Linked DNA regions of Elephas maximus indicus. The protein of the gene in region 1 purifies or fractionates together with the protein of each later gene. This does not show direct contact. Links are inferred from orthologs where the notes say so. Each region holds a gene or a part of one and is shown in the gene's direction. Other genes may lie near its edges.

The links. Proteins that work in one complex are often made in the same cells at the same time.
Region 2: the proteins of ARRDC1 (region 1) and ZMYM2 purify together in Homo sapiens (affinity purification with mass spectrometry; 3 studies listed by BioGRID and IntAct, counting the BioPlex papers as one, with this or other methods). This does not show direct contact. The link is inferred for Elephas maximus indicus from reciprocal best matches to the Homo sapiens genes ARRDC1 and ZMYM2.
Region 3: the proteins of ARRDC1 (region 1) and NEDD4 purify together in Homo sapiens (affinity purification with mass spectrometry; 3 studies listed by BioGRID and IntAct, counting the BioPlex papers as one, with this or other methods). This does not show direct contact. The link is inferred for Elephas maximus indicus from reciprocal best matches to the Homo sapiens genes ARRDC1 and NEDD4.

The regions. Positions count from the first base shown.
Region 1 is NC_064827.1:661,487-669,324, reverse strand, and holds the start of ARRDC1 (arrestin domain-containing protein 1), read left to right. Parts: upstream 1-4,873; intron 4,874-4,881; exon of another isoform or gene 4,882-5,403; 5' UTR 5,404-6,807; coding exon 6,808-6,861; intron 6,862-7,422; coding exon 7,423-7,544; intron 7,545-7,838. Other genes in the region: basic proline-rich protein-like, read right to left, coding at 3,342-4,757. UniProt on the Homo sapiens protein: Functions as an adapter recruiting ubiquitin-protein ligases to their specific substrates. Through an ubiquitination-dependent mechanism plays for instance a role in the incorporation of SLC11A2 into extracellular vesicles.
Region 2 is NC_064841.1:49,337,201-49,344,982, forward strand, and holds the start of ZMYM2 (zinc finger MYM-type protein 2), read left to right. Parts: upstream 1-5,391; intron 5,392-5,930; 5' UTR 5,931-5,998; intron 5,999-6,085; coding exon of another isoform or gene 6,086-6,185; intron 6,186-7,782. Other genes in the region: uncharacterized protein LOC126066247, read right to left, coding at 3,977-4,409, 4,656-5,391, 6,086-6,185. UniProt on the Homo sapiens protein: Involved in the negative regulation of transcription.
Region 3 is NC_064831.1:46,258,048-46,265,841, reverse strand, and holds the start of NEDD4 (E3 ubiquitin-protein ligase NEDD4), read left to right. Parts: upstream 1-4,712; 5' UTR 4,713-4,790; coding exon 4,791-6,293; intron 6,294-7,794. UniProt on the Homo sapiens protein: E3 ubiquitin-protein ligase which accepts ubiquitin from an E2 ubiquitin-conjugating enzyme in the form of a thioester and then directly transfers the ubiquitin to targeted substrates. Specifically ubiquitinates 'Lys-63' in target proteins.

The DNA.
Region 1 (7,838 bases):
ACAATGACTCTTAAGATTTTTAGAAGCCCTTTTGTATGTCTTCAAGGGCCTAGGGGGACCCGGAAATATTTCAGAGGTTTTAGCAAGGGATATTATAGCCACACGCTTGATTTTTACCCCTGAGGTTGTATTTTAATGCCAGTACCCTGAATTTGATATTTACTCTGAGGCCATTTCTTAAGAACCTTTCGCTACCTGGAGGGGCTGAGAGTGAGGGTGCTTTTTTTCCCCTCCCCAACTCAACAAGACCTGTGTTGGAACTCTTTAACTTCTGCTTGAACTTTTCCTTTTTTAATTCATCTCTCTTGTCTTTCTCCCACTTTATCATGAACGGCTGAAAGAAGCCAACTGGCCCTTTGAAACTTCTGCTAGGGAATCTCCTTAATCAGCCCACAAGTTAATTAGGTACATTTTCTGTCTTCCATGTTACCAGTCTGTATTAGTTATTTAGTGCTGCTATAACAGAAACACCCGCAAGTGGATGTTTATTCTTTCACAGGTTAGGAGGCTAAAAATCTAAATTCAGGACACTAGCTTTAGGGGAAGGCTTTCTCTGTCGGCTCTGGGGGAAGGTCCTTGTTTCCTTTCAACATCTGTGGGCCCAGCATTCCTTAGAGATCTCCACGTGTCTTAGCATCAATCTTTCTGAGTCTAGGAGGTTCATGGTACAGGTACCCTGGTCCAAAGGACACACTCTACTCCTGGCTCTTCTTTCTTGCTGGTAGTGAGGTCCCTCTCTTCTCTACTCCCTTCTCTCTCCTTTTATCTTATAAAAGATGTGACTCAAGCAAGGGTGTGACTTTAGCACAGGCAAGTGACTCAAGATACAGCCCACGCTAATCCTGCCTCATTAACATAGAGTGGTTTAGGATTTAACAATACTGGGAATCATGGCCTAACCAAGTTGACATATATTTTTCTGGGACACGATTCAATCCATGACACAGTCTCACCAATTTTTCCACCAAGAGATAACATGGTTCACTGTTTCTCCAGCCTACAGTAGCAGGCTCATGGACCTTCCAGCACCCTCCTGCTGCCTGGCCCGAAAGTCAATGCTACATTTAATATTTTGTTATGGTAGTTTCTCACTTGTAAGTACCAATTTCTATTTCAGTTTTTATCACTGCATAGCAAGCTACTCTAAAATTTAGTAGCTGTCTTAGTTATCTAGTGCTGCTATAACAGAAATACCATAAGTGGATGGCTTTAACAAAGAACAGCCCCATAGAGTTTCCAAGGAGCTCCTGGTGGATTTGAACTGCTGACCTTTTGGTTAGCAGCTGTAGCTCTTAAACCACTATGCCACCAGGGTTTCCTCTCACAGTCTAGGAGGCTAGAAATCCAAATTCAGGGGCATAGGGATTGGAGAAAGACTCATTAACAACCTGTGTTATGCAGATGATACAACCTTCCTTGCTGAAAGTGAAGAAGACTTGAAGCACTTACTGATGAAGATCAAAGACCACAGCCTTCAGTATGGATTACACCTCAACATAAAGAAAACAAAAATCCTCACAACTGGACCAGTGAGCAACATCATGATAAATGGAGAAAAGACTGAAGTTGTCAAGGATTTCATATTACTTGGATCCACAATCAACAGCCATGGAAGCAGCAGTCAAGAAAAAAAAAGACACATTGCATTGGGTAAATCTGCTGCAAGAGACCTCTTCAAAGTGCTGAAGAACAAAGATGTCACCTTGAAGACTAAGGTGCGCCTGACCCAAGCCATGGCAGTTTCAATCGCTTCATGTGCGTGTGAAAGCTGGACAATGAATAAGGAAGACTGAAGAAGAATTGATGCCTTTGAATTGTGGTGTTGGCGAAGAATATTGAATATACCACGGGCTGCAGAAAGAACGAACAAATCTGTCTTAGAAGAAGTACAGCCAGAGTGCTCCTTAGAGGCAAGGATGGCGAGACTGCATCTTATATACTTTGGACATGTTGTCAGGAGGCATGAGTCCCTGGAGAAGAACATCATGCTTGGCAGAGTACAGGGTCAGCAGAAAAGAGGAAGACCCTCAATGAGGTGGATTGACACAGTGGCTGCAACAATGAGCTCAAACATAACAACGATTGTAAGGATGGTGCAGGACTGGGCGGTGTTCCGTTCTGTTGCCTAGGGTCGCTATGAGTTGGAACCAACTTGAGGGCACCTAACAACAACAGCTCCAGGGGAAGTCTTTCTGTTTCTTATTGGCTCTGGGGGAAGGTCCTTCTCATCAGTCTTCCCCTGGACTAGGAGCTTCTCATCACAGGTACTCCAGGTCCAAAGAATGTGCAGTACTCCTGGCTGTGCTTTCTTGGTGGTATGAGGTGCCGATGTCTCTGCTTGATTCTCTGTTTTATATATCAAAAGAGATTGGCTTAAGACAAGATCTAATCTTGTAGATTGCGTCTTGCCTCATTAACATCAAAGAAGTAGGATTTACAACACAGAGGAAAATCACACCAGATGAGAAAACGGTGGACAATCACACAATACTGGAAATCATGATCTAGCCGAGCTACTAATCGCTAAGCCACCAGGGTTTCCACTTTGGAAGAGTGGAAGTGAATTCCCCCGGCTGAGTGTCCTTCTCTACTGATAAGCTTCCTGCGCAAAGCAAGCTGAGAAAAAATTCTACAGAAGTAGTTTAAAAGACTTGGGTTGTTAGTAAACAAAGAGTATTCCAGCCCAACTTTTGGAGTCAGTAGACCTCTATCAGCAGGGGTGTTTGTTTTAGATTCTCTTTGATTTGCATGGTTCTATTTTTCCAAACCAAGATGAGTTTCATTATGTATAATCTTCATAATGACCAATATTATTCAGCTCTGACGAAAAAACAAAACTACAAAAAAACAGAATGACAAAATATATGTAAAACTTAAACAACTGTTTTGCTTAAGCAATTCACTTAGTACCCTATCAGACTCAAATTTTGGAGAGCCTTTATGTGTTCTGAAGGAAAACAAAGTAAGGATTAATCATGTAGCCTAGAGTAGTAACTGATGAGGGAAGGCCTTAACTAGGGCCAGGAGCCGGAGGGACAGGGCGCCCAATATATTCTGCAGAAACATGTTTTGCACATATGAATAAATGTGCAGTTGCATTTAAAACACAAACAAAAACAAACCAGATTCTGGTCCTCCTTGTCTCAAAGCCATCCGCACCATCCCCCCATGTGGCAGCGAGGTCATCTGTCCCTACAGCTTCGGACCCCGGCGCCCTCCCTGCCCCCGGGCTTGGCACTTGCTGCTCAGGTGCGCCCATAGCTTCAGGGCTGGATCCTCCAAGGCTAGGCAGCGCGGTGCACACAGCAGGCTCGGCTGGCACACCTGCGGGACAAGCGACCTCAAAGCCTCTGGCAAGAGGGGGACGCTGGCCAAGAGTCAGTAGGGCGCCCGGACAGGGGTCCGCCGGGGAGCGGAGGAAGGGTCAGCGAGGTGCCGGGGCTGGGGTCGCCGGGGAGCGGGGTAAGGGTCGGCGAGGTGCCCGGGGAGGGGTCTGCCGGGGAGCGGGGTGGGGTCGCCGGGGAGCGGGGTAAGGGTCGGCGAGGTGCCCGGAGTGGGGTCGCCGGGGAGCGGGGTAAGGGTCGGCGAGGTGTCCGGGGTGGGGTCGCAGGGCCTCCCGCGGTGGGGTCGCCGGGGAGCGGGGTAAGGGTCGGCGAGGTGCCCGGGGTGGGGTCGCCAGGGAGCGGGGTAAGGGTCGGCGAGGTGCCCGGAGTGGGGTCGCCGGGGAGCGGGGTAAGGGTCGGCGAGGTGCCGGGGGTGGGGTCGCAGGGCCTCCTGGGGTGGGGTCGCCGGGGAGCGGGGTAAGGGTCGGCGAGGTGCCGGGGGTGGGGTCGCAGGGCCTCCCGCGGTGGGGTCGCCGGGGAGCGGGGTAAGGGTCGGCGAGGTGCCCGGGGTGGGGTCGCCAGGGAGCGGGGTAAGGGTCGGCGAGGTGCCCGGGGTGGGGTCGCCGGGGAGCGGGGTAAGGGTCGGCGAGGTGCCCGGAGTGGGGTCGCAGGGCCTCCCGCGGTGGGGTCGCCGGGGAGCGGGGTAAGGGTCGGCGAGGTGTCCGGGGTGGGGTCGCAGGGCCTCCCGCGGTGGGGTCGCCGGGGAGCGGGGTAAGGGTCGGCGAGGTGCCCGGAGTGGGGTCGCCGGGGAGCGGGGTAAGGGTCGGCGAGGTGCCCGGGGTGGGGTCGCCAGGGAGCGGGGTAAGGGTCGGCGAGGTGCCCGGGGGCGCGGTTACGGGGTCGCCCGAGGGAGAGGTCCGCGGGCGTCAGGGCCGGGGCGGCGATCGCGGATCCCGGCGGCCCGTCCTCCCCCGCGCGCGGCGTCCTCTGGACACCCCCGGCCTTCCGTGACGCGCTTCCGTCTATTCTCGCGGGGCCCGGGGCGGGGCGCGAGGGTCCCGAGCGGCAGCTGGGGAGGGGCGGGCGGCGCACGCCGGCTGCGGCCGCGGGGAGGCTCCAGTTGCGCAGCTCGGGGCGCGTCTGGGGCCGAGAGCCGAGCGTACGCCCCGCCCCGCGGCCCCGCCCCGGGTCCCGCCCAGCGACCCCGCCCCCAGCGGCCCCGCCCCCGACAGGTGAGCCGGCCGCGCCTCCCGGGGCAGCAGGGGGCGCCCGTGCGCCCAACCCCGCCAGCCGCGCCGGACGCAAAGCTGCTGAGCTCGGCCCGGGCCGGGGGCGGGTCGGCGGGCGGGCGGGCGGGCGGCGGGGCGGCGGCCTCGGAGCGCTGCCGGGCGGCGGGCTGTAGTGCGCTGCCGGCCCGGCGCGGGCTCGCAGCATGGGGCGCCTGCAGCTCTTCGAGATCCGCCTGAGCCATGGCCGCGTCGTCTACAGCCCGGGGGAGCCGCTGGTCGGGGCCGTGTGCGTGCGCCTGGGCGCGCCTCTGCCCTTCCGAGGTGGGCACCGGCCGGCGGGGCTGCGGGGGTCCCCTCGCGGGTGGGCCGGGCGGCCTCAGGTGGTCGCGTCCGCACCTGGGGCGGCTGGGCGGGGCGCCCGGGACCCCGGAAGCGGCGGCGGTGCCTGCCGGCCGGGGACGCGCGTTGCGGATGCGCCGCCCTGCCCCGGCCTGAGCGCCAGCCGGGGGGACGGCTCGGGTGTGGCCGGCCGCCCCGCGCAGACCGCCGGGTGTTTGGCCGGGGGCTGCCGCCAGGCGGGGCGGGGCGGGGAGACCCCGGTGGCCCAGCCCGCCGCATCTGCCTCTTCCTCTCCTTGCTGCCCGGGGGCGGCCAGAGCCGCGGGCTGGGGTGTGGAGGCTCCCCATCTGGCCTAAGGTCACTCTGATTCATTTCCGCTTGGGGTTTCCCTGTCGGGGCACTTAAGGTCTGCTGCCACCCGCATCTTTTGGGCCTCCTCACCTGTAACCTGGCTCACTCTCCGGCTCCCTAGCCTGCCCGCCCAGGATCTTGCTCAGGCCCCTCTTTTCCAGGACAGTCCTGCCCCGAATGTGCGGCCTCCCGCAGGGCCCTCCTTGACTCCTGCCCTGGCTTCCCCTGCCAACTGGGAGGACCTCGCCCATGCCCACCTCCCCCTGGCCTCTGGCGCAGCCTGGCACCAGGGAGCTGAACCTGAGCCCTCCAGGCCAGTCCCTGTGGCGGTGCTGTCTCCTCTTTCACAGACATCTGGGACTTTGGGACTAGGGATTGGGTTGCCGCGGCAGCCCTTGCTAGGGCTCTTGGAGGTGCTGGCCTTGTTTGCCCATCCAAACTGCGGCCCTGTACCAGGCCCTGAGGGCAGGGTGGGCAGAGCTGCCGCCAAGAGGGTGCACCTGTGGCCCTGGCTGCCTGATTCTGGCCTGAGCCGAGGGTAGCTTGGGCATCCCTGCATGGCTCTCTCCACCTTCACTTACTCTCAGAGCCTCCTGGGGCAGTTGGCCCATCTGGACCTCCGTGTGGCCCTTGCCACCATGTGGTGTGAGGCTCCCAGCCCTGTTGGGTCTCGTCGTTATGATCTGATGTCTCCCTAACTACTTCCCTGGCAGGAGTTGGGAGTTTGGGGTGGCAGTTACCACAGGGCCAGAGGCAGTGGGGCTACCCGCTGGGGCGCACGCACAAGGGCACATGCACAGAGCCATGCCAGGTGAGATCTGGGGGATGGGAGTGGAAGGCTCTTGGCTGACCACAGTCAAGGGGCCATCTGGGCCCTGTGTGGGGTCCTGGGGTAGGGTGAAGGTGAATTACTTGGGGCCACAGAAAGCTGCAAAAGTGGCAGCCGGTGCTCTCTGAGTGGGGGAGGAGGAGGAGGACTCCCAATCGGGCCAGAAACCTGATTATTTCGGCTACAGAAGACCCGGTGGAGCACCAGGTGCTGAGGCCACTTCGGACTTCCTCTGATACTTCCTGGTATGCAAAGGGGAGGGCCACCTGTTTTTCCCTCATTCGCTTGATGCCTCTTGAGCGCCTGCTCAGTGCCAGTGAGGTCGTGGTGAGGCCCTCTGTCCCAGGAGAAACATCAAGGAAGGGAGAGCCGGATGCCTGCAGGGTGGGGGCTCCGAGTTGCTCACTAAATGCTTGTTGAATGAATGGCCCTGATGGTGCTGCAGAAGGAGTTGCTCTTGGAGCCCAGGCCAGACCCTACCCAAGGTTGGTAGTTGGTCAGGTGGGGGCTGCCCAAATTCTGGCTCTCGGGGTGGGCAAGGGAGGATGCCCCCAGCACCGCCAGTCTTCCCCGAGCTCCCTTCGTGGGACACTTGCTATTCTACCCACTCTCCATGTTTGGGTAATTAATCCTCATCGCTACCTGGGAGGTGGGAGGACTGGGTCAAGAGGAAAGCAGGTGTTCCAGGAGCAACTCTTGTGACACAAGCAACATCGAGATCAAAAGAGTCAGAGTGATGGCAAACCTTTCAGAAAGGCTGCAGCGCTCTCCACCAACAGACACCTGCCGGGTTGGTGCAATCTCTCGTGATAACCCTATACTGTCAGGGAACACTTAAAGGCTAGATGGCGTGGCTCGGTGCGAGGACGCCGCGTGCCTCCTGGAGCAGATGCTTAACTCCCTTTGCTGGGTAGGGGCAACAGGGCTGCAGGGTCACTAGTGAAGAGTGACTTAACCGTTATCATCAAAAAGGCAGAGGAAGTCTGGCTCTTCGATGCAGTAACTGCCACTGAATCGCCCAGTCCTGCCACCACCCCTGAAGGACAGTTTACTGGGGTCTCAGGCCTGGTTTCCTGCCCCCTTTGCCACCACCCTCAGCAGAGTGGCTGGTTTTCTTAGGCCAGCTGTGTCATCCTGAAGAGGCTGCAGTAGTCCCTGGCATCTAGTCTCCAAAATCTGTGTTCCCCCTAAGAGCAAAGACCCCTCCTAAAACCTCCGATAGGTCCCCCTCATTTCTTGAGCAGGACCATGTTGCAGGAACCCGATTAATCCAGCGGTTTGGGCAGGGAAAACTGTGGCCACTGCAATGGACCCAGAGCAGTGAAAACTGACTCCCTGGGGATTCTCCCAGGCTGACCTGAGGAAGCAGCAGGCCTTCTGTGGGAAAGACCTTTGCCTTTGCCCTACACCCCCCCATTTTTCCCCTAGCAGGGGAGAGAGGACAGCAGGGCAGGTTCCACCACAGGACAACAGGTAGGGCTGCTTGTTCAGCAGGGTGTCCCGTAGGACCTTGGTGTGTGTGTAAAACGGGGCTCTTGGCATGGGGGTTTGGCATGTTGGTGTTTTTATCTGGTTGGCTTTTCTGGGGTCAGGTGCGCATAACTCATTTACCTGATGCTGGGAGCTGGGTCCTCTGCTATTGGTGGACACCCGGGTATACCTAGCTTGTTGGTGTCACAGTGGTGGTGTGTGTGGCTCTGTGGGTGAATGGGTATGATCTCCTGGGGGAAGTGTGTGCGCGGATCTTCCCCAGAGCCCCAACCACCT
Region 2 (7,782 bases), on another chromosome or scaffold:
TCTCTGAAACTTAGATGGCACTTGGGTATGCTATGCCACAAGGAGATAAAATGCGGGACATGATGGACCCCATATTCCAGCTTGAGCCAGGCAAGGAAGAGTGAATATCAATCTTTATTAAGAATACAGCAGCAAGAATTTTTAAAGCCACAGGAATTTGGAAGAAGGGAAAGTTCATAATAAGACACAAAAGTGAAAAGTGGTTTGCTGGAATCACTGGGACCTCAAGGGATGAGAAGACTATATATATATATATATATACACACACACACACACATGCACACACATACACACACATACATGTACATATATATACACATACCTACATATACATATGTAATAGATATGTATATATATACATATTTATTTAGCAAGCTTTGAGATGTAATTCACATACCATATAATTCACCCATTCATAGTGTACAATTCAATGCTTTTTTTGAATATTCAGTGTTATGCAATTATAACTATAATCAATTTTAAAACATTTTTATCACTCTAAAAAGAAACCACTTATCCTTTAGCTATCTTGCCCCAATCCCCACTTCCCAAGTCCTAGGCAACAACTAATCTATTTTCTGTCTCTATAGATTTGCCTGTTCAGGACATTTCATATAAATGGTATCATGTGTGATCTTTTGTGACTAGCGTCTTTTACTTAGTATAATGGTTTCAAGGTTCATCCATGTCTAGCATGTATCAGAACTTCATTCCTTTTTATGGCTAAATAATATTTAATTATATAGCTATTCTACAGTTTATCCATTTATCAGTTTATGGACATGTGGGTTGTTTTCAATTATGAATAATGCTTTTTGCAATTATGAATAATGCTATGAACATTCTAATATTTAAAGGTACTTTACGTAAAATTAAGCAACATTTTTATTTAAATTTTGAGCATGCATTGAGTATACTGTACCAGTGGTGGCAACAAATTAAATTATGACATAAACACATTTTTTTTTTTTTTGTAGTTCTAAACTCTCAACTAAAACTTATCCTTAATATCATTGCAGCAAATCTGTGAATGTTTTCATGGACATATGGACCTGAACGAAGAAATTAAAAAAAAAAAAAACTACTGTGATTGCTATCGCTGTTGCTAATCAATTATAAAAACAGCAAAAATGCCAGGGTATTGGTAGCAGTATAACCAACCTACCAGTTACTGATGAGTCTATTTCTACTCATGGTGATCCCATCTGTATCAGAGTGGAATTGTGCTCCATGGGATTTTTTATGTCTGATTTTTGAGAGGAGTCCCTAGGTGGCGCAAATGGTTAAACACTTGACTAGTAGTTGAAAAGCTGGTGGTTCTAATCTCCTAAGAGGCACCTCAGAAGAAAGGCCTGGTGATCTGCTTCCAAAAGTTCACAGCCTTGAAAACACTATGGAGCAGTTCTACTCCACACACAGGGTTGTCATGAGCGGTAATCGACTCCAGCAACCAACAACAGAGAACCAGATGCCTTGGTAACATTAACCATTTTCACCAGCAGTATAAAGTTTTCTCAAATTGAACAGCATGTGGCCACTCAATCTATCATTTAAGTCTATGACAGAGTTTATTTTATAGAATCTTGTGCCAGTTATCTAGTGCTACTGTAACAGAAATACCACACACGGATGGTTTTAACAAACAGAAATTTATTTTATCACAGCTTTTTATGAGGCTAGAAGTCCGAATTCAGAGCGCCAGCTCTCAGGGAAGGCTTTCTCTCTGTCGGCTCTGGAGGAAGGCCTTTGTCTCTTTTGAACTTTGTTCCAGGGTAGTCAAGCTGGCTTGACATCTGTTCCTGGATGATGAAGGTGGCTTGGCATCTGTTTCCCCATCTCTGCATCTTTTGATTGCTTGTTTAATCTCTTTTATATCTCAAAAGAGATTGGCTCTTAAAAGCTAGCAAGCGGCCATCTAAGATGCATCAATTGGTCCCAAAGCACCTGGAGCAAACAACAGTGAAGAACACCAAAGACATCAAGAAAATATTAGCCCAAAAGACAGAAAGGGCCACACAAACCAGAACCTCCATCAGCCTGAGACCAGAAGAACTAGATGATGCCCAGCTACCACCAATGACTGCCCTGACAGGGAACACAACAGAGAGTCCCTGACAGTGCAGGAGAAAAGTGTGGGGCAGAATTCAGATTCACGTAAAATGACCAGACTTAACGGTCTGACTGAGACTGAAAGGACTCCGGAAGACATGGCCCTTGGGCTCTTTGTTAGCTGAAAACTAAAGTCATTCCCGAAGTCAACTCTTCAGACCAAGATTAGACCGGACTATAAGACATAAAATGATACTCGTGAAGAGTGTGCTTCTTAAAATGATACTCGTGAAGAGTGTGCTTCTTAGTTCAAGTAGATAAAGGAGACTAAACGGGCAGCTCCTGTCCAGAGGCAAGGTGAGAAGGCAGAAAGGGACAAGAGCCTGTTGAATGGACACAGGAAATCCAGGGTGGAAAGGAGGAGTGTGCTGTCACATTATAGGGAAAACAACTAGGGTCACGTAACAATGTGTATAAACTTTTGTATGAGACACTAACTTGAACTGTAAACTTTCACTTAAAGCACAATTAAAAAAAAAAAAAAGAGAGAGATTGGCTCAAGACACACCCTACACTAATCCTGTCTCATTAACAAAGACAACCCATTCCCAAATGGGATTATAAACACCGGCACAGAGGTGAGATTTACAACACATATTTTTTGCGGGACACAGTTCAATCCATAACAAATTCTTCCTACTACAAACTCAGTGAGCTGAAGCTATGCAATAGTACATGGTAACGGAAAAGGGATGGTGTTAAGTTTTTTTTCACTGAATTATTACAGTATTGCCTTGAACTTATTTAAATAGTGAGAGGATGTTTCTGTTGTGAAGTTGATGTAAATTATGTCAAGGTAAAACAGTATTGTGTAATATAAGATTTACAACGATATTTTATTTTATTGAAAAACGAAAATTTTACAATTGCAAGAAATTTATCTGCAGAAAAAAGATACTATTGTATAAAAGCTGTGCGCAAATATGAGTTGTGGATTTTGGCAATTAAAAAAAAAGAGCAGTATACTTACGGTATTTTGTCCCGGGTGTAAGGACTACTTAATAGTCTATAGTCTCACATTAATTTGTATTCATAATGAGCTAACGAATGTGAATTTCTAGATTATGCTCTGTAAATGGCACTTATTATTAGACTTTACACATCAGTCTTTATAGAGTCCTTCATGGATGATTAACTTCATTAAAAACTCCATGTTATCACAAATGCACTTTAAATTGTAACATCACATCTCCATTTATTAACAGGCGGCGGCGTCAGGCAGTCCTACAATTGGGAAGCCTTACCATCTATCCATTTATTTCCCCAACACCATCAGTTGCAATCCCACTAACAACCGCTAGGGTGAGACGACAGAGGCATGTTTTTAATCGCTACGTGGAATCTTGCCCAACGTACAGCACCATTATGTCCGCCCAAGATGCAGGTGTAGACGATGAACAAAAAAGAGAGCCCATCGTCGACGGGATCTGCGCTCAATCTACGCAGGGTGAACGGCGGCCTGCGTCTTGCCTCCGGCTGCTGGGCGAGGGGCGCCTCCCGCAGGGCTGATGGCCCAGGTGTGGCGAAGCGATGGCGCTTCCACCAACCTTGAGGACCAGGAGACCGTGGAAGGCTGTTGGGAGGATGGGTGGAGGCTGGGGGAGGCCACTTGACAGAGGCTGCGAGGGAGGAAGTCGGCAGCGCAAAAGGACACGCAGGGTTAAGTGGAGCCCCTCCAACAAGGGAGCCTAGCTCCAGGGGAGCCCGCAGTTTCCTCCATCTTGGTTGATGGAGGCGGGAGCGGCGTCTGGGTCCTTCCACCAGCGCGCCTGCCCTCCTCGGCCCCTCAGGGGCCGACCCTCGAGGCAGGGGCGGCTACCCCGGCCGAAAGGTGGAGCCCAGGTGGGAGTTCTCGGGAACGAGCTCCCTAGCCCCACGGGGCTTGGCGTTGAACTAGTCCCAAGTTCCCACAGCGTCCCGACAAAATGGAGGACGTCGTCTCCTCCTGCTGCAGCCATGACGAGAGTGGAGGACTCTGCCCCACGGGGCGAGGCGAGGGTGGAAGGGTTCCCACTCTTCTCGGAGTACCCAGGACCCCACCACGCCCTCGGCCTGTGTTCCTCATTCGGCCTGGCGCCAGGTTTTCCCCACCGTGCCCCTCGCCTGCAGGGGCTCCAAGGAAAGGACTGGTAGGGCGTTCGGGGCATCGAGGCTGGGTCTCTCCTCGGGCAGAGTCGTTCTGGGCCGCTATAGCGGCCTGCGTGCCCAGGCCCGAGCGACGGAGGACAGCTCCAGCCTCGGTCTCTCGGGCTGTCCTTGGCTTTGGGAGCCCGTTAGTGCCCCCGAGAGCCAGCCCGCAGCTGGTGCAGAGGGGGCATCGAGGCTTGGGACCGCCTGACCCAGACGGCCCCAGTGGAATGGGGGCGGGATACAGAGGGGAGGGGACAGCCCGGGAAGGGACGGGGCGGTGGGGAGTGGAATGGAAAGGCTGAGGGGTGTGGCCTGTGTCTGATGGACAGCCCTTTGGACCACCTCATCGAGGGGGGTCCTGAAGGAAGGCAGATCGAGCCAATTGACGTGCCGGGAGTGCCGCGGCCCGTCTTCACCGCCAGCCAATGAGGGTGCGGAGGCGGGGCCTCCACGGGCTCGGCAGTGCCGCCACCGCCTCCTCCTCCTCCTCCTCACCAGCGCTAAACCCGGGACTGGACCGAGCGGAGTTGTGCTTGTTATCGAAGGGGGGTGGGCCGGGGGAGGGGAGGTTCGCTCCGCGGAGCCGCAGCCAGAACCGGGTGAGGCTTGCCCCACTGTCTTCCAGTCCAGGTCCGCTGATAATGGGGGTGGCTGGGAGCAGCGCAGCCTCCGAAGGAGGAGGCGGAGGCGGAGGCGGCTGGGGAGGCGGAGATGGGTGAGGGCAGTCTCCGGAGCCTCCCACCCACCCGGGATTAATGCCCAGCGGCGCGGTCACCGTCGCCGCTGCCGCGCAGGGGCCTCGGGGGCTCCTCCGGGAGCCGCTCATGTCACCGGCGCCTCTCCGGGCGGCCCGAAGGGCGGCAAGGGCGAGGCCGAGGCCGGGAGGGCTGGGTGAGGCGGGGGTCGCTCGGGGCGGGGGTGGCCCGGGGCTGCGGCCGTGGGGAGGTCGCTGAGGTATTTTTCCTTTCTTTCCTGCGGGGGTAGGCGGGGGAGGGGCGCCTCTGTTCGCGCTCCCGCTCTCCGGGCTGCGCTCCCAGCCTCTTCCGTAGCCAGCGGTCCCCAAGTTTTCGGGGCGAAGGCTGCCGCCTCCTCCCTGCCGGGTCCCCGCTTTGCTCAGCTCCTCACTGGCGCTGTGCTGCGCCGCTCTCGGTCCTCACGTATTGTTTGGCTGGGTCTCTAATGGCGGACGAGGAGGCAGCGCTGCCGGTCGCCGACTGCAGGGGGGGCAAACCTTAGGCCCAGGGCAACTGCTTGGGGCAGATATGGGGATTATCGGCCCCGTGGAGACGTGAATTCCTCCCCCCGCCCCTTACCTCGGAATTGGTTCCTAGAGTGTCGTGGAAGATGCTGGGTGGGCAAATTTAGGGGGGGGGAATACACAATCCCCTCCTGGCGTCGGGGCTACGTCGTGCCCTTCCCCCCTTCTTTCCCCAGGAGCAAGCTTGGTGCCCTCCAGCACCCCCTTCTAGATTTTGCCTTCAACGTGGTTTTTAACCCCAATATGTATTTTACGTCGTGTGCTGCACTTTACATAGGAGGGTACCGTGGGGTGTGGGGTGGAGGGTAATAATAAAAGGGCCGAACATCCTTGACCTCTTATTCCCTTCTCTGCCTCCTCCTGGTGAAAAGGGTTTGGTGCTACCACCTGGTTGGCTGTTCTTGATCTATATTTCATCTTTCCTCTTACCCAGGACCAGAAATCGCCTCAACCCTGTTTGGTGCATCTTTGGTGGAAAGTAAGGAGGAGAACATTCCCATTGTGAGTCCTTTACCCCGAATTTGTTGATTTTTAGTGGACGTCGTCACGTTGTAGAGTTCAGTAGTGGGGTTTGCCCCTCCCCGTTGCTTTGAGGGGGAGGGGCTTTCCCTTGGATGGCAGCTGCCCCCGGGGCAAAGCCCGGGTGATGGCTGGTAGGGCAGCTTGCAGTGGGCGCTGCTGTTTGCATCGCTGCAGACATTGCTCCTGCTGCAATACCAACCTCAGCAACCAGACGATGGGTTCCTGCAGCTGCTCTCCTTACCCAGGAGGAGGGGTGCTGGGAAGGAGGGCATATTTCTGGTGCCCTCTAGAGTTCCAGAGTGGGAGTTGAAGTTATTTCTTTTTAACATTTTTTCTCCCTTTGCGATGGATAATTGATTTAAGGGATTAGAAAAATTAAACGACTTAATTTTTTGTTTGTGTCTGATTCTCCTTTTACAATCAGTGATGGAAAGGATTAGAAAAATAGAAACATTAATTTTTGTTTCTGATTTGAGAAACAAATTTTGAGTCTTTGGGTTCATGAGTTGTTAGATCTCATTCATGTCTTAGGTTTATGGAAAAGGGCACGAAGCCTACTTCTTATACTCTCAGTTGTCTATCTAATATGTGGATTTGTCTTCACTTAAGAGTCGTTCTTAAATGTGTTAACTGAGAATTACCATCTAATGCTTGTAATTTATTAAGGCAGTACTGTAATCAGCTAGACAGTAAGATAAAAACCTGTCAAATTTTCTTTCATTCAGCTGAAACTAGTAACAAGCTATCAGTGAAGTCAGCACTCTGGACATATTGTATTTTGTGAGCCCATTGAGAGTTGATACCATTATAACTTGCAGATCTCTGTCTTCTTGGTCATAAGTGTGGTAACTTATGCTTAAGTATTAAGTCCAAAATGATCAGAAGATAGCTAATCCAATGACAAATACATGCTGAATACCGATTATGAAGGATGATGTCAAATGACAACTTACGTTAAATTCTTACTATTCTAGGCACAGTGCAGGACACTGTCATGTATTATCTCCTTTAATCTTTGCAAGTAACCAGCAGAGTAATGAAAATATCATTTATTGAGTGTTATTGTATGCCAGTGCAATTTCAAACTTTTTAAAAAGTTTATTATGGAATCTTAATTTTCTGAGTGAGAGTAGTATACTGAACCTCCATGTGCCCATCACTTTACCTGCATTGTAAAATGATCAACACATGCCTACATTCATTTTTTAACATGTATTAAGTAATTTATCCTCATGAAAACTGGTGAGGTATATACTGTTTTCTCTTCCTGAACTGCAGAGGAGGGAATATACTCAGCTCTTTGGAGCTTGGCTGTTAACCAAAAAGTTGGCAGTTTGAATCCACCAGCCGCTCCTTGGAAACTCCATGGGACAGTTCTGCTCTGTCCTGTAGGGTCACTATGGGTCGGAATTGACATGGTGGCAATGGGTTTTCTGGTTAATAGTGTTTGGTAGAGCAAGGATTTGTACTTAAACAATTTGATTACAGAACTGAGGCTAAGTAGCCATGGTAGACTACTTTAAAGAACTTAATATACTTTTTTTTTTTACACATATAGTGAAAAAAACCAGGATTAGAATCTTTTCAGCTTATGTAATTTTACTACTTAGAGAACAATGTGTAAACAAAAATGAAATGCTTGAAGCTTATCGAGTACTCTTTTCTAAAAATAAGAGAACCACAGTTCAATTAGATTTTTTGCTGCCGTGTTTTAAGACTTAACAGGGCCTGTAGAAATTAAAAATGTTATATTCTCTTTTTCA
Region 3 (7,794 bases), on another chromosome or scaffold:
TTTAGTAGTGTCCTTTAGTTGGAAAGGAGCCTAGTGGCACAGTGGTTAAGTGCTCAGCTGCTAACCAAAAGGTCTGCAGTTCTAACCTACCAACTGCTCTGTGGGAGAAAGATGTGGCACTGTGCTTCTGTAAAGATTACAGCCTTGGAGACCCTATGAGGCAGTTTTACTCTGTCCTAGAGGGTTGCTGTGAGTCAGGCAGAATTGACTCGATGGCAGAGGGTTTGATTTTTTAGTTTTTGATGAGTTGGAAGAAAAAAAAAAGTTACTCTGATGTTAACGATTGGATGTTTCCAGATTGGTAAATATAACAAAAATTAAAAAAAAAACTTTTAAGTAAAAGCAAAAACAAAAAAAAATGCATTAATCATGATATTGTCTATCTCCACACCAAGGAGTCAGCAGCCCTGTTGTAACCCTGCGTCTGCTCTGGCATGTTAGCTTGTAACCCTGGGCAAGTCATTCAGTCCCTCTGAAAATAGTTTCTCGTGTTTAAAAATCAGGGATAACAGTATTTGCCCTGCTTATCATAAATTTATTGTTAAGTTTAAAATGAGACAGCAGCTATGAAAGCGCTCAGAAAATTATTCATGATACAAATATGAAGTGTTATTTAACATTTGTGGATACATGTGTTTATGGCTCTCTGATGCCATATTTTTGTATTAACTGAGGTTGCCTTTTAGTGTACCTACTGAGTTAGATGACTGCTATGCATTAGAAATACAGCTACTTTTCTCAAGAAGCTCACTTTACCAGCCAAAGGGAGCAAGAGACAATTAGAACAGAGTGGTGTGTGTCGTTCTGGTCCTTTGATTTGTTGCTAGTTCTAGCAGGTAATTGAAATGTGTAGGTCACTGAGATATCATAGAAACTGTGGCTATAGTTAAGCACTCGGCTGCTAACCAAAAGGTCGGCAGTTCGAATCCACCCGCTGCTCCTTGGAAATCCTGTGGAGCAGTTCTCTTCTGTCCAGTAGGGTCACTGTGAATCGGAATCGACTTGACAGCAGCGGGTTTGGTTTTTGGTTATAGCTGTTGGTGGAGTGAGACGTGATTCTCCAGCAGTGACTGGCCTGTGCACTGTGATGTCATTCTACCTTTATTCTCCTGTAGCGTTCACAGCTAAATTAGGGACACATCCTTTTCTTAGCAAATTCTCCTGGGAAATGGAAGGAGACGGCGCAGTTAGAAATCTAAGCAGAAACCATTTCTTGTCATCTGGAAAAGTTTTACAATATAACTGATATTTGCTTTTGAGAAAGAGGTGGCTTATAGACCCTCTTTTTCAGCCAGTTTAATACCGAGAACTATAAGCTGTAGTAGTGGCTTGGTGGGTCGTGGTGGTGGTGTGGACAGTGTTGGAATGTTTCAGAGTGGTATGCCTTTAAGAAGATTTTACCCACCAGTGCAAAAGTTGGTGCCTCTGTTCACCGACCTAAAGTTCTATATGCACACATCTAGCCACCAAGGATTTAGCAGACTGCTTTGTCTTGAGTGGAGATGCTGTGCTTCTCAGGTTTAATGGTCTCTAGCCTTCAAAGCTCTAGTCAGTGGTTAGGGTTACTCAGAGCCCACCCACACCATGTATGCAATCACATTGTTTTCTGTGTGTGCAAATAATAATAACCAAAATATCTCAGAATGTGGGCCATAAGCTTCCATCTAATCCTGAGACATTATCCTTTTAATTCCAGAATATGAAATTCTATAGGCCTTGCATAGGTTCCTGCTATAAGGGGCTACCTCTAAGCTTCTACTCTCTAGCTCTTTCTCACCTGAGTGAGGGCTGAGGCTTTTCTTTTGGCAACTGCTGGGCTAAAGGCCTACATTTTACCCCAGGTTCCCCAGGCTCCACATGGCAACTCCTGGGCTAAGGGCCTACATTTTACCCCAGGCTCCCTAGGCTCCACATGGCAGCTACTGGGGTAAGGGCCTACATTTTACCCCAGGTTCCTCAGGCTCCACATGGCAGCTGCTGGGGCAAGGGCCTACATTTTATCCTAGGTCCCTCAGGCTCCACATGGCAGCTGCTGGGCTAAGGGCCTACGTTTTACCCTAGGTTCACCAGGCTCCACATGGCAGCTGCTGTGATGGTTCTACAGATCCTGTACGATCCCAGACCTCAGCCCACAGTGCAGGCTGTTCAACCTCTCTAGAATTTAAACTCAGACTGGGTTTCTAGGAAATGCATGTATTTCTCTTACCTTTCCTTGGCTGGGTTCCTTTCTCCAAAATTTTCAAGCATCACTCCTTCTTATCCAGCTGCAGTGTTTTTTAATATTTCTTTACAAGTAGCAGCTGGATCAACTTAAGTTAAAAAAATAACACAAAACCTGAAAGGCAGTGTTGGGCAGTCAGAGTGACTGCATGACCGTCCATCCACTCAGCCTTCTCTCTGGTTCTTTAGTGCTGAGTCTGCCTGACATGAGCCCAAGAGGTCAGAAGAAATGTACAGTTGTGGTCCTCACATTCTGGAAGCTTTAAAATCTAGTTAGGGGACATGAAACTAATGCTTACAGCGAAGCTTACCAATGAGAAGACATTCATCTGGTCACATACATGGGTTCATAATTTTATATTAACTGTCAGGGGAGCTTTGCTTATTGACTGGACACTTTAGGCCAGAGACACGAGTGGTTAGATCTCTTTTGACTAGTCGTCTAAAAATAATCTGTTCTTTGAGTCGTTAGACCTCTAACTTAACCCAAAAAGGAAAGCTGAAGTCACTTGAAGGCAAAGTAAAAAGATTGACTGTTTCTTCTATAAAGAAAAAGGATGATAGGAGAATATTTGCAGAAGTCTGTATAATCGTAAGGGAGGCTATATGAAACCAAAATAACATGAACTTTATCGCTAACTTTGTAACTACTGTACACTTTCTAAAATATAGTACTATCTCATTCTTGTCAGAACTATAATAAATTCCCATATTTCTAGTTTGTCAAGTCTTAACTAATTAAAAACACTGTTCAGAAAATTGTGATTGAAAGCAGATTTATCGTAAGCAGTTTTTTAAAAAAAAAACAAGGTACAAGTATATGTTTTATATGTTTGCTTTTGCTTAGGAAAAAAACTTACTTAGAAAAATACAGCTTGGGTGTAGTACCATGTGGTATAAACAACGGAACTATTTTACTTTTCACTTTCCTATGAATGAGCCAGTATATATTTATTACTGGAGTTCCAACTATAAAATTCAGGTAAGGGGTTTAAATATACCCTAGAGTATTATTTAAAAATAAATTTGTTTCTTTCAAGTAGAATACCAACCTTGGTCAACGACATTTGGGGGAAAAATTAAAATATTAAACTTTTATTACCTAGTAAACTGAAAATAAATGAAAGGTTAAATAAATACAAAACAGAAAAAAAAGCATATGTACAAAAATCACAACATCTAAGAGGACAAACAGTCTACTGTTTTCCGTGGTAGGAGCTTTATCGGTAGTAGTAAGTAATTCCACCTCGAGGGCAGTGCTTGGTACTCAAAAATGTAAACAAATATGCACTTTGTTTATCTAAAGAAATATGCAGCGTGGCTTGTATTTCTTCGGCGATATCTAACAGCTAGAAGGATGGTTTCAAAGCACCAGCAGGGGCCAGCAAAGGGCTCTTCCAGTTCTTCAGAACAGAATTGGCGCTGAGATATGTTTATTTGATGTGTTAAATCTTTTTTAGACTTCTTTCTTACCACAGCCCTCTCTTAGCTGAATGAATTGCAGAGACAGTGGAATAAAATATTCTATGTGCTCCAGCTATATGGGCGTATAGTTTTTCTGCCTAATCTGCATGTATTTTTAATGGAATGTTTGCTTAGCCTATTTCTTGGCAGAGTTTTAATAGTCAAAATATAAATGGCATCGTTTAAAGACTGTGCTACTTGGCTGGAAAAGGCCTTAAGATTACAGGAGAAAATGCTTGGTGACAGTTTCTCTTAAACTTTTTTTCCCTCGGTCCCATGCTCAATGTTTGTAGTAGTATTACTATGCTAATTTTGTAGTTCTGTTCCTTACAGTTTCAGCTTTTATAACTAGCAATTGGAAGCTAAACTGTTTGTCTATTTGATTTAATGGTAAAGTTTTATTTCACCCCAAAGTTTTCGTATTTCCAAATTTTGAACTGTTTGAACTTACCATGTAAAAAAATTAACTGTATATATTCCCTTCTACATTAACTTGATCGGATTCCTAGTATGGCAACTATTTGGAAATTCAATCCTTGATTTGATACTCAATTACATGAGGTTTCATTCCTACCAACTTCCTGTAATTCTATACCTACGGGTAAAAATATTAGTGGCCAAAGTCGGCCGGAGAAAGTACAGGCACAGTGGTTCCAATCGTTAAATGTGCATTTAGTAGAGCTGGAGGGAAAACATACTGTTTCAGCTTGAAATGCTAGGAGATTGTTGTTCCTGTGTTACTCACTCATGCAAATTGGAGAAGGTATAATTGAAACAAGGTTGGCAGTGTTTGAGTCAGTGTGCTGCTGCTGAGCTGAGCTGAGCTTAAAGGTCGCTGGAAATCAAGTGCTTTGTGAGTGAAGGCGTTTTGACTACAAGCGATTCAAGACATTTTGGAAACGTCATTCTCAGGACTGGGTCGTCTTTTTCTTTCTGTGATATCTGGTATCTAGCGTTTTACTAAGGGTGAAGGCTGCTGCTTAAGACTCTTTCAGATACCACAAATGATTTTTTCTTTCGATGCAGTGCAGCTGCTTCTAGCCTGTCTACGGCCAGAGATCTTTGTTATGACTTTCAGCCCTTAACATGCTTGGAAATGAGAACAAATGGCACAAAGCTTACGATTGCACTTTGCAGCCAGAAGAAGCAATACTTACCCTTTGTCAGAAAGCTCCGGAGATGATTTGGAGAGCAATGTTCACATGTGCTTCAGGAGACCTACACGGATTTCAGCGTCTAACGTGGTTCAGATGAAGCTGACTCCCCGACAGGCTGCACTGGCTCCTTTAGTAAAGTCTCAGGAAAGATCGTCTGAAAATGTTAATAAAAAGAGCAGCTGTCTACAGATTTCACTACAGCCAGCAAGGTACAGTGGATGTCTTCAGTCTAGCAATGTCTTAACCGATGGTAATGACGCCTCCCTTACTTGTGTCTTGAAGGAAGGCATTGACAGCAATACTGTGGTTGATCATGAACTGAGTGCTGTTTGTAGTGGTAGCCTTAGTAACTTTTTAGCCAGTGATAACGGGTCTTACAGCAGCAATGGTAGTGATTATGGGTCGTGTACAAGCATCACGAGTGGAGGCTCATACACTAACAGTGTCATCAGTGACAGCAGTAGCTGTACTTTTCCACCAAGCGATGATCCTTTTTTTGGTGGAAACTTATCTTCTGAGACCACGTCCAGTAGGAGTGTGCCAGACAGGAACCCTACTCCATGTGACGTTTTCTCAAGAAGTATGAGCACAGTTCCCTTTGTCCAGGATGACCTGGACCATGGGATAGAGATTATGAAGTTGCCGGTGAGCAGGAACTCCAAAATTCCACTGAAACGTTGTTCCTCCTTAGTTGTTTTTCCTAGGAGTCCTTCAAATACCCCACCAACTTCTCCAACAAGTACAGGCACTCTTTCAAGCAAAGGATCCTATCAGACTTCACACCAGTTTATTATTTCTCCCAGTGAAATTGCGCACACTGAAGATGGTACTGCTGCTAAGGGATTTCTTTCAACGGCTGTCAATGGACTGCGGTTATCGAAAACAACTTGTGCTCCTGGAGAAGGGAGAGACATAAGGCCACTTCACAAAAAGGGCTCGTTACAAAAGAAAATGGTTATTTCAAGTAATAGTCCAAAGCAGACTGTCTGCGAAGAGTCACCCGATGGATATTCTTGTGTTTCAGTGCATTTCACCCAACAGAAAGCAACTACGTTTGATTGTGAAGCAGCAAACGGTGACTGTCAACCAGAGATGTCAGAAATGAACCGAAATTCCGATACAGAGTATACTAAGCTCACGCATAGGACATCTGCTTGTCTACAACCCAACCAAAGTACCGATTATCAAATAAATATCAGTGGACAGTTGGAAAGACCAAATTCACAGACAAACAAAAACCATGCTACTTTACAGAGGAGCATTTCACTGGGAGGAACTTATCCAAACGTTTCCTGTTTATCCAGCCTTAAGCACAGTTGTTCCAAGGGGGGACCATCTCAATTACACATAAAGTTTGCCACTGGAAATGTAGGTAAAGTTAGTGATTTATCCAGAGACGGCAACAGAGATGTCACAGATGAACCATCTCATTCTTTGAAGCATTCTCGAAAGGTACGTTTCCTTGGTCTTAGTAAATGTTAATTTATACTAGAATAACTTAAAGAAATATTTGGCTAAAATTTGCTATAACTTAACCCAGAACCCAGTGCCGTCGAGTTATAACTTAGCAGTTTTACGTAATTCCTTGGTTCTTAACTAGCAAGTATTTTGTAGTAATGAACTTTGTATTTGAAAATCTGAGGAACTCCCTAATAGTATTCCACTCCATTTGTTATTTTGCCAATGTAAAAATTATATACATTAGAAAAAAAAAAACTTTCCTAAGTGATTTAAGCCATAAACATTTCTGTAGTATTAAAATAAGCTTTGAACAATAATTTATTTCATAACATTTTGTCTTGATATGTTTTCCTTCAAGTGACATGGTATTTTCATATCTAACTTCATATTCTATCCTTACTTTAGAAAAGGATCATTTAATTTTCTCCCCTCCTTAGTCATTATGAAATAAAGTAGAATGTAAAATGCTTATTTAAAATACTAAATGATAAAAACCCACATAAAGATGTGAAGATCTTGTTATTAATGAACACAGAGGAAATGTTTCTTTAAAATGTTTGTATTTATTAGATCATTGATAAAAACTATGATGTTGCATGCTTAGCACAGAGGAAGAGTAAGTGGCGTTTGCATTTGTATATACCCTTAACCACAGGAATTTTGTTTCCACCCTATTTTTCTTTAGCCACCAGTTTAGACTGCTTTCTAAAATGTAACTCAATATTTCAACAGAATTAAATTCTAAATTTTATACTTAAAAATTTTTTTGATTGCTAGGCATTTCCCAGAATTTTCTAGTTACCTTATTAATAATTTTGTTGTTTTGATATTTTTGCTTTATTATATTAGTAATTTAACTCAATTGAATCTTAACCCAAACATTTCCTGCTACAATTTGACTTTCTGAAGTGTTTCAAACTTAAATTTTTTGAATTTCTATATTTGGAAGGTCTTGCCAGATTCTAGGACATTTAAAAAATTATGTGACTAAACCAGTTCTGGATGTCGGTATGCAAAAAGTAAGCTTATCTGTTTATTACTGTGTTTATATAACGTCCGATGTATTAAGGGTTTTAAAAACAAAACAACTGGTCAAATAGCTTTAGGTAAATAAAATACTAGGTAATTGTTAGTTTTCTGTTTTGAAATTTGGTAAATATAGTCGTTGTTGCCCAGTGCCCAGATGCCAATACAAGCAACTTATTTTACAGAGGATAAAAAGATGAGATTTCAAATTCTGATCTATGCTTTATAATTATTAATTCCATTTAGAAAACTTTTTAAAAACTAGTTTTTAGGAGATTATAAGCCATTCAGCTGTTTTCTCCCCAAAAGAAAGCAGTGAAGTGATATTATGGATAAACAGATTAATAGTTTTCTAATTGAATTACATGCTGCTGATAAATTAATTTTACACTTAATGAAATAATTAATCTGAGTGGAAAAGTTAACTTAGAAGTATTTATAGAAATACTCTTAAAATACTTATTTT